Callithrix jacchus: one gene and its partners. The protein of the gene in region 2 binds, or shares a complex with, the protein of the main gene of each other region. Links are inferred from orthologs where the notes say so. Each region holds a gene or a part of one and is shown on either strand. Other genes may lie near its edges.

Region 1 (3,655 bases), on a different chromosome or scaffold from region 2:
GGGAAAAGCTCTTTCCCTGCACACAAAGAACTGACCAGATACAGCATCTAGGAACTGATAAACCCTTCTAGAAAATAACAGGGAAGACCAGGCATGGTGGTTCATGCCTGTCATCCCAGCATTTTGGGAGGGTGAGGCGGGCAGATCACTTGAGGCCAGGAGTTCAAGACCAGCCTGGCCAACATGGCAAAACCCTGTCTTTACTAAAATATAAAAAAAAAAACTGGCCAGACCTGGTGGCGTACACCTGTAATCCCAGCTACTCAGGGGACTGAGGCACGAGAATCACTTGAACCCAGGAAGCAAAGAGTACAGTAAGCCAAGATGGCGCCACTGCACTCCAGCTTGGGCAACAGAGCAAGACTCTGTCTCCAAAAAAAAAAAAAAAAAAAGAAAATAATAATGATGAAAAGTGGCATAGTAGGATAATCAGGACCATAGGTCTAGAGTTCAAATTACAGCTCTACTACTTATAGGCTGTGTGACTGTGGGCAAGTTATCTGCCTTCACTGAGTCTCAGTTTCTCCATCTATAAAATGGGGGTGTTAATAGTTTCTTCACAGGCAGTTTTGAGATAGTATAAGTTAAACCTTCACAGTACACTGTAATCCCAGCTACTTGGGAGGCTGAGGCAGGAGAATCACTGGAACCCAGGAGGCAGAGATTGCGGTAGGTGAGATCATGCCATTGCAGTCCAGCCTGGAAACAAGAGTAAAACTTCATCTCAAAAAAAAAAAAAAGGAAAAACAGGTGAACTCGGACTGACCTCTGTTTGTAGGTCATTGCCAGATCTTTCCAATAGTTGGCTGCTTCTTCCTCAGAGCTAAAAGTCTTTCCAGAGTCCTCCATGGTGAAAACAGCAGAAGAGATCAGTCTTCTTGTGGCATGGTGTCTAGGATAAAGGTTTGAAAATGATTACTCACATCTGGTTAAGTAGTTGACGTTTAACAGGAAAAAAAAATAAACTTCTTGTGTGTTAAATTATTAAATATGCCAAAAATCTGAAGTAAACCCAAACAAAAGACAAGTCACTCACCTATTACATTCCCTGGGTTAACATCAAGGCTCATGTACAGCCATATACAAATATTTACTGAGCACCTACTATAGGACCGAGGGAGCCATGTTAAATGTCTCCAAGATGCCTGCCTTCCCTAAAGGGGACTCACAGCCTGGTGGAGGAAGAAGGGGAAGAATGTAAACTGCACATAAATAATAATAATTATTATAATTAACTATCTGAGACAGACTCTTGCTCTATCACCCAGGCTGGAGTACAGTAGCATGATCTCAGCTCACTGCAACCTCTGCCTCCTGGGTTCAAATGATTCTTGTGCCTCAGCCTCCAGAAGAGCTGGGATTACAGGCATGCACCACCACGCCTGGCTAATTTATTTTTGGTAGTGACAGGGTTTCACCATGTTGGCCAGGCTGGTCTTGAACTCCTGACCTCAAGTGAACCAGCTGCTTCAGCCTCCCAAAGTGAACCACTGCACCGGGCCCCATGTAAATTATAAAACTCTGTGTCTACTGCAGCCACAGAAATGTGCACACAATTTTGACATGCAATAAATTGCATATATTTGAGTATACACATTGGTATGTTTTGATATACATATGCACCTGAGAAACCATCATCACAATCAAGATAATAAACATTTATATCAGTGCCCAGGATATTTAAGAAGTTCCAAACTCAACCTGAGTCAAGGAAGACTTCCTGGCAGAGGTGACACATGAGGAGCATGTGAAAGAATGTGAAAGAACTGTAAGGCAGTGGTAAGTGGGTAGGGAAAAAAGAGGACACTACACAGAGGGGAATGAGGAGAAACAGCCAGGCACTTACAGGGGAGGTAGAGGGAGTCTGATAGGCCTGGGTTGAAGGGTGAGGAGTAGAGGGGAACCTGGACAGACTGAAATAGATGGCTTTTGGCATCTGTGACTTAGTGTCAACGGGAAACCATTGGAGGTTGTTAAAGAAGAGAGTGATGTGATCTCAATGTTATATGACGGGCTCTCCTGCTTAAATAGCTGGTCCTAGCGGCCATGGACAGGCAGAGGAAGGACAAGGCCAAAGATGGAGAGCACTTGCAGCAATGCAAAAAAGAAAGGAGGGTGGAGGCCAGGCCCAGTTGTCACACCTGTAATCCCAGCACTTTGGCAGGCCAAAGTGGGCAGACTGCTTGAGCCCAGGAGTTCGACAGCAGCCTAGGCAACATGGTGAAACCCTACCTCTACTAGACATAGAAAAAAATCAGTCAGGTGTAGTGGCACATGCCTGTGATGTCAGCTACACAGGAGACTGAGGTGGGAGGATCACCTGAGCACAGGGGGCACAGGTTGCAGTGAACCAAAATCATGCCACTACACTCCAGCGTGGGTGATGACGTGAGATCCTGTTTAAAAAGGAAAAAAGAAACGAAGGTGGCCCGCATTAGAAAGTGAGAATAGGCCGGGTATAGTGGCTCACACCTGTAATCCCAGCACATTGGGAGAACAAGGCAAGACAACACTTGGGGCCAGGAGTTCGAGACCAGCCAGGGCAACACAGCAAGATCCTACATCGACAAAAAAAATCTTTTAAAAATTAGTCTGGTGTGGTGCAACACATCTGTAGTCCTAGCTACTTGGGAGGCTGAGAAAGGAGGATCATGTGAGTCCAGGACTTTGAGGCTGCAGTAAGCTATGATCATGGCACTGCACTCGAGCCTGGGAAACAGAGACCTTGTCTTTTTTTTTTATTTTTTTTTGAGATGGAATCTAGCTCTGTCACCAGGCTGGAGCGCAGTGGCGCAATCTCAACTCACTGCAAATTCTGCCTCCTGGGTTCAAATGGTTCTCCTGCCTCAGCCTCCCGAGTAGCTGGGATTACAGGCATGCGCCGCCATGCCTAGCTAATTTTTTTGTATTTTTAATAGAGACAGGGTTTCACCATGTTAGCCAGGATGATTTCTATCTCTTAACCTTGTCACCCACCCACCTCAGCCTCCCAAAGTACTGGGAGTAAAGGCGTGAGCCACTGCGCCCAACCACCAACAGAGTGAGACCTTGTCTTAAAAAAGAAAGTAGGGGCCGGGCACAGTGGCTCATGCCTGTAACACCAGCAATTTGGGAGGCCGAGGTGCGCAGATCACCTCAGGTCAGGAGTTCAAGACCAGCCTGACCTACATGGAGAAACCCAATCTCTACTAGAAATACAAAAAGATTAGCCTGGCATGGTGGTGCATGCCTATAATCCCAGCTCTTCGGGAGGCTGAGACAGGAGAATCGCTTGAACCTGGGAGGCGGAGGTTGCAGTGAGCCGAGGTCTTGCCATTGCACTCCAGCCTGGCAACGGAGCTGGACTCCATCTCACAAACAAACTAAAAAACAAAGTAGGAATGAAGATGGAGGGCGCAAAAATTGACTCCAAAATTATCTAGCCAGTAAACTTACCAGAACTTGATGAATTATGACTTTTTGGAGTAAGGGAGAGAGAAAAAGGAGGTGAGGACATCTTCTGCGGCTCTGGCTTAGGCAACTGGGTGCCACCACCATCTGCATCACCAGAGATAAAGAATTCCAGAAAGTGCAGTGCCTCGCATCTGTAATGCCAGCACACTGGGAGGCCAAAGCAGGTGGAATGCTTAAGCCCAGGAGTTCCAGACCAGCCTGG
Region 2 (2,689 bases):
CATCAGTGAACACCATCACTGTGCGCTGAAGGGCTGTTTGAAGTTATTGAAAGTTATTGAAAGAAACGTGGGCCTGAAATGGTGGCTCACACCTGCAGTCCCAACACTTTAGGAGGCCAAGACAGGTGGATTGCTTGAGCCCAGAGTTTGAAGCCAGCCTGGGCAACATGTTGAGACCCTGTCTCTACAAAAAGTAGGAAAATTAGCAAAGCATGCTGGTGTGCACCTCTGGTTCCAGCTACTTGAGAGGCTGAGGTGGGAGGATTGTTTGAGCCTGGGAGTTCAAGGCTTCAGTAAGCTAGGATGGCCCCACTGCACTCCAACCTGGGCAACAGCGAGATCCTGTCTCCAAAAAAAAAAAAGGGCTGGGTGCGGTGGCTCACGCCTATAATCCCAGCACTTTGGGAGGCCGAGGCGGGTGGATCACAAGGTCAAGAGATCGAGACCATCCTGCTCAACAAGGTGAGACCCCGTCTCTACTGAAGATACAAAAATTAGCTGGGCACGGTGGTGCGTGCCTGTAGTCCCAGCTACTCGGGAGGCTGAGGCAGGAGAATTGCCTGAACCCAGGAGGCGGAGGTTGTGGTGAGCCGAGATCGCGCCATTGCACTCCAGCCTGGGTAACAAGAGCAAAACTCCATCTCAAAAAAAAAAAAAAAAAAAATAGAAGAAGAATAAAAGAAAACAAAACAAAAGAAGCATGTGAACTTGCAAACTTTGGTCTCCTACACATCTCTAACAAATGGTGATGGGGCTTGTTATGAGCAGACAGGGGCATATCACAGAGGAACGGTTCAGAGAAAGGGCTTTTAGGGTCAGACTTGGGCTTGATTGCCAGCTTCATAGTTAGCTGTGACCTGAGAAAGGGGACTAGTGAGCTCTTCCCAGCTGCTTTAGAGAATAATGGTAGAATAGTGGCCCACACATGGCTAAGTGTGTATGACTAATATAATAAGACAAGAAGTCTTATTATATTAGGTATTCCCTAGCTATATGTTTTATTTCAGTTAAATGCTGATATCATGTAGAATAATGTGTAGGTATAAAGGAATGTAATGGTGCCTTTTTATTTTACAGGGTTCTTGAAGCTCTTGTGATTAACAATGGCAGGAAAATCATCACTTTTTAAAGTAATTCTCCTTGGAGATGGTGGAGTTGGGAAGAGTTCACTTATGAACAGATATGTAACTAATAAGTTTGACACCCAGCTCTTCCATACAATAGGTGTGGAATTTTTAAATAAAGATTTGGAAGTGGATGGACATTTTGTTACTATGCAGATTTGGGACACGGCAGGTCAGGAGCGATTCCGAAGCCTGAGGACACCATTTTACAGAGGTTCTGACTGCTGCCTGCTTACTTTTAGTGTCGACGATTCACAAAGCTTCCAGAACTTAAGTAACTGGAAGAAAGAATTCATATATTATGCAGATGTGAAAGAGCCTGAGAGCTTTCCTTTTGTGATTCTGGGTAACAAGATTGACATAAGCGAACGGCAGGTGTCTACAGAAGAAGCCCAAGCTTGGTGCAGGGACAACGGCGACTATCCTTACTTCGAAACAAGTGCAAAAGATGCCACAAACGTGGCAGCAGCCTTTGAGGAAGCGGTTCGAAGAGTTCTTGCTACCGAGGATAGGTCAGATCACTTGATTCAGACAGACACAGTCAACCTTCACCGAAAGCCCAAGCCTAGCTCATCTTGCTGTTGATTGTTAGATTGTTGATGCATTCTAATCAACTCACACATATACACAAAATCAACATGGGGATGGAGAAGAGAATTAGCGTTTGCAGCAGTGTATCATCTAATAAAATTAAACTAAAGTATATTGCTGCTTCATTAGTTGGTGGGAGAAGGGACACATCTACCCATGGAGGAATATATTTACTCAGTAATGGCACCTTCCATTTATGAATTGTAACGGTTGTCTAATAACGTTTCTTTAATTTAAATATGTAAGTTGCAGAGCTAATAAATGAGATGGCCAAGACTTTAATGATAATTAAAATAAGAAACTTGACTATTCTAGAAGTTATACTTGGATTTTTTTTCCTGGGAAAATGGAGAACTACTTTTATATGTGTATGTTTTTATGCAATTAGCATTGTATTCTTGGTTCAGAGAAATAATTTCCTAAAGCAATAATGTTAGATATTAAAGATTAAAATCTAATGTATTTGCGATACATTGTTAATTTACTTCTTCATTCCCTTCAAAATGATTTAACCATTTCTATTTTCATTCTACGTATTAGAATTACTCTCACTAGTAATTACTTGTCATTTGTGTGCCATTCATGTGTCCCTACCCCCATAAATCTTGTTCCACAGTCTCAGGTGGAGGGCAGGCCTCCAGTGGTACAAGAGTTCCTTCATACAGTCCATCGTACATCCAGCTAGATTCATACTGTCTGAATGGAAAGCTTTCCATAGAGAAGAGTTCAGTTTTAAGAAAAAGGCTAACTACTGAACTTGAAGAACAGACAAATGTGCATTTGATAATTGATCTAACAATTACAATGTACTGTGTGGAAGATACAAAATTAGTTTGTTAATGGACTACTTAATACTTTTGTTACTTTCTTTACTCTTAGGAAAAGGCTCCTAGTTGAAGTTAAAACATTCCTTTTTAACAGAAGACACAGCTAACTTTATCACTCTCAGAGGAAATACTAAAAAGGCTTGTACT
Region 3 (3,655 bases), on a different chromosome or scaffold from region 2:
GCAATGTTTGGCAAATTTTTTAAAAATGTGGACATAAATGCCATCCTATATGTTGTTCCAGCCTGGGCAACAGAGCGAGACTCCATCTGAAATAAATAAATACACATATACATACATAAAGATAAAATTATGTACAAATGGTAAAAGTCTATATGATGAAAAGTTACGGTCTCCCCTTATTTTGATTCCCTATTACCCTTCCTCAGAGTAAACTGCAGGTAGGGCGTGGTGGCTCATGCCTGTAATCTCAGCACTTTGGGAGGCCTAGGTGGGCAGATCACTTGAGGTCGGGAGTTTGAGACCAGCCTGGTTAATGTGGTGGACCCCCATCTCTACTGAAAATTCAAAAATTAGCTGGGCATGGTGGTGGATGCCTGTAATTCCAGCTACTTGGGAAGATGAGGCAGGAGAATCGCTTAAACCTGGGAGGTGGTGGTTGCAGTGAGCTGAGATCGTGCCACTGCACTCTAACCTGAGTGACTCAGTCAGACTCCATCTCAAAACAAAACAAAACAAAACAGAGTCAACTGCAGTATTTTCTTATTTCTTTCTAGATTATTCTATGCATACACAAGCACATGGGTCACTTTTGTATTGTCGTTTGAGATGGCGTCTCACTCCCATCATGCAGGCTGGAGTGCTGTGACACAGTCTCAGCTCACTGAAGCCTTGAGTCCCTGGGCTCAGGTGATTCTTCCACCTCAGCCCCCCAAGTAGCTGAGGTGTACACCACCACACCAAAATACCACACTAATTTTTTTGGTATTTTTTGCAGAGACCGGATTTCACCACATTGCCCAGGCTGGTATCGAACTCCTGGCCTCAAGCAGTCTGCCTCCCTCAGCCTCCCAAAGTGCTGGGATTGCAGACATGAGCCACCATGCACAGCCTAGATCACTTTCTTATTTGTCACACATGGGAGCATATCTTACACCTTGTTTTGCCTCACTCTTTTCACTGGCTGTGTGATATTCCACTGCATGCTTGAGCCGTATTTAAGCCGATCACCTGTTGTTGGATATTTAGGTTGCTGCTGTAAGTAGTGCTGCCGTGGACATGTTGGTCCATCTGTTTTTGTGCACCTTGTCCTCAGGTGTTTGAGTCTGTGGATGAGGTGGAGCAGGTGGAGGCTGAAGGCAGATTGGAGGAGAAACAGTCCAAGATCCCCAATGGGAACCTAGTGAACGGCACTTGTTCCCCAGACTCGGGTCATCCTTCTTCGCATAACTTCTCTTCGGGCTTCTCAGAGCACTCAGAGCCCAGTCTGAGCACAGAAGACAGTGTCCTGGACGCCCAGCGGAACACCCCCCCAGTGCTGCGACCTGGGGATGGCAGTGTGGATGACAGACAGAGCAGCGAGGCCACCACATCCCAGGATGAGGCCCCCCGGGAGGAGCTGGCCGTGCAGGACAGCCTGGAGAGCGACCTCCTGGCCAACGAGAGCATGGACGAGTTCATGTCCATCACGGGGAGCATGGATGTGGCCCTGCCTGAAAAGGACAGTGTCGTGATGGAGAGCTGGAGGGGCAGTGAGGCAGAGAAACGTGGCCAGGCGGACAGCGAGGACAACCTCTCGGAGGAGCCTGAGATGGAGAGTCTCTTCCCTGCCCTGGCTTCTCTGGCTGTGACTACTTCTGCCAACGAGGTGTCCCCCGTGTCTTCCAGCGGCGTCACCTACTCTGTAAGTCACCAGAACCCTCCATTCCATTTCCTTCTTTCTAGCTGCAGGAGGGACGGATGTACTACAAGCCGGTTATCCAGAATGACCCAGGAGTCAGACCTCTGCTTCCTTGCATTTCTTTTTCCATTGTGGAGCATTCACTGTAGAAATCCATTTGGGAGAGAAGAGAATATAGTATTTTTAAAAGGCGGGCTTTGCTGTCAACAATGCTGGGCTCAAATCCCACCTTCAGCAGGTCACTTTATGCTTCTGAGCCTCAGCTGTCCTATATGTCTCTTACTTCCTTTTCTGAGTGGTTTTAGAATGAATGAGTAAAGTCTGGCGTGCCTGCTGCATAGTAAGCACTTAGTCAGCAGCAGCCCAGTTCCTTGTAAATACTCAAATTTGCTTTCTTACCAGAAAGACTAAGCCAAAGGATGTCATTTGAAAGGAAGGATTGTATTCATTTATTTTTTAAAAGAACTTGTTATTTCTTTCAAAGATAGGCAAGCCCATCCAGGGTCAAACACTTAGAAAAGGCTGAATATAAAACCCAGAAGATACCTGCTCCATCGCACCCCATTTAACCCTCCCCAGAAGCAATTACATTTACTTACTCTGCCCACATTACCTGGTGTTGACCCCATGTCTCTGACACACTGGCATTGCTGCTTCTTGAAAATTTTTTTGTTTCGGTTTTAGACTTTTTCTAGTGGCTCCCACTATGAAAGAGGATGATGGCCGGGCACGGTGGCTCACGCCTGTAATCCCATCACTTTGGGAGGCCAAGGTGGGCGGATCATGAGGTCAACAGATCGAGACCATCCTGGTCAACATGGTGAAACCCCGTCTCTGGTATAAATACAAAAAACTTAGCCAGGCATGGTGGCACGCACCTGTGGTCCCAGCTACTCAGGAGGCTGAGGTGGAAGAATCGCTTGAACCCAGGAGGCGGAGGTTGCAGTGAGCCGAGATTGTGCCACTGCACTCCAGCCTGGCGACAGAGCAAGACTCCGTCTCAAAAGAAAAAGGATGGTTTAGTTCCCATTTCCTCCCAACCCCCAGCTCTCACCACATGTGACCCCTTCCCATTCCTATCCTTCTAATATAGTTATGTAATGATTTAAATGTATATAGTGTTATCATATTTTATGCATATACTGTAAATGTCAGTGCTTGCATTTTATTTATTTATTTATTTAGAAACGGCGTCTTGGTCTGTTGCCAGGCTGGAGTGCAGTGGTGGGATCTCAGCTCACTGCAACCTCTGCCTCCCAGATTCAAGCAATTCTCCGGCCTCAGCTTCCCAAGTAGCTGGGATTGCAAGTGCATGCCACCATACCCAGCTAATTTTTTGTATTTTTAGTAGAGACAGGGTTTCACCGTGTCGGCCAGGATGGTCTTGATCTGTTGACCTCATGATTTGCCTTCCTCAGCCTCCCAAAGTGCTAGGATTATAGGCGTGAGCCACCGCGCCCAGCCACTTGCATTATTTTAACAATATAGTACATAAGCCGTGCAGTAAACTGTTCTAATTTTTGTCTTTCCTGCAAAAAAAAACAGAATCGTTTTTCCAGATGCGTTTTTATTTTCCCGTTTGCTTTTTCTTAGTTTGCTGCATATTTAAAATCAATTCACCCCCAGAAGTCTTTACCATTTTCCTAAATCTCTTTTCAAACATTCAGACTCATCAGGTTTTCTGTTTGTTCTGTGTGTTTAAGGAGTTCTCTCCAAAAAACTCCTGAGGCCCTGCGCGCCACTGCACTGGTGTCGTCATTCACCGTCTTCCTCCATCCTTGTCTCGAGCTGCCTTTTGTATCGCTCATGTTTTCCTTTCTCTTAGACTCCTCTTTGGTTTAGTTGAACCACATGCCTCAGTGGCATCCACATTTTTGCTTTTCATTTCTCTTCTACTGTAGGCCTCTAGTCTGGGATAATTGCATTTTTGTATGAAGTTCCTTTAGAATTTCCTTGAGCAGAGTCTCTCATTTGTAT

What was found.
Region 1: the proteins of RAB9A (region 2) and NDE1 are in contact, whole or in part, in a crystal structure (PDB 7E1T), measured with the Homo sapiens proteins. The link is inferred for Callithrix jacchus from reciprocal best matches to the Homo sapiens genes RAB9A and NDE1. Residues at the interface, in NP_001182257.1 of Homo sapiens: Ile40, Val42, Phe44, Asn46, Gln59, Trp61, Arg68, Phe69, Ser71, Leu72, Pro75, Phe76; in NP_001137451.1 of Homo sapiens: Asp99, Gln102, Thr103, Ala105, Ile106, Gln109, Leu110, Tyr113.
Region 3: the proteins of RAB9A (region 2) and SGSM1 are in contact, whole or in part, in a crystal structure (PDB 4QXA), measured with the Mus musculus proteins. The link is inferred for Callithrix jacchus from reciprocal best matches to the Homo sapiens genes RAB9A and SGSM1. Residues at the interface, in NP_062747.1 of Mus musculus: Phe37, Thr39, Ile40, Gly41, Val42, Glu43, Phe44, Leu45, Trp61, Arg68, Phe69, Leu72, Phe76; in NP_766306.2 of Mus musculus: Leu256, Leu257, Tyr258, Gly259, Lys260, Asn261, Asn262, Tyr277, Asn294, Met297, Asn298, Gln361.

What each region holds. Positions count from the first base shown.
Region 1 is NC_133513.1:13,585,234-13,588,888, reverse strand, and holds part of NDE1 (nuclear distribution protein nudE homolog 1), read right to left. Parts: intron 893-3,655; coding exon 767-892; intron 1-766. UniProt on the Homo sapiens protein: Required for centrosome duplication and formation and function of the mitotic spindle. Essential for the development of the cerebral cortex.
Region 2 is NC_133524.1:13,938,064-13,940,752, forward strand, and holds the end of RAB9A (ras-related protein Rab-9A), read left to right. Parts: intron 1-1,077; 5' UTR 1,078-1,103; coding exon 1,104-1,709; 3' UTR 1,710-2,184; downstream 2,185-2,689. UniProt on the Homo sapiens protein: The small GTPases Rab are key regulators of intracellular membrane trafficking, from the formation of transport vesicles to their fusion with membranes.
Region 3 is NC_133502.1:195,848,542-195,852,196, forward strand, and holds part of SGSM1 (small G protein signaling modulator 1), read left to right. Parts: intron 1-1,093; coding exon 1,094-1,681; intron 1,682-3,655. UniProt on the Homo sapiens protein: Interacts with numerous Rab family members, functioning as Rab effector for some, and as GTPase activator for others. Promotes GTP hydrolysis by RAB34 and RAB36.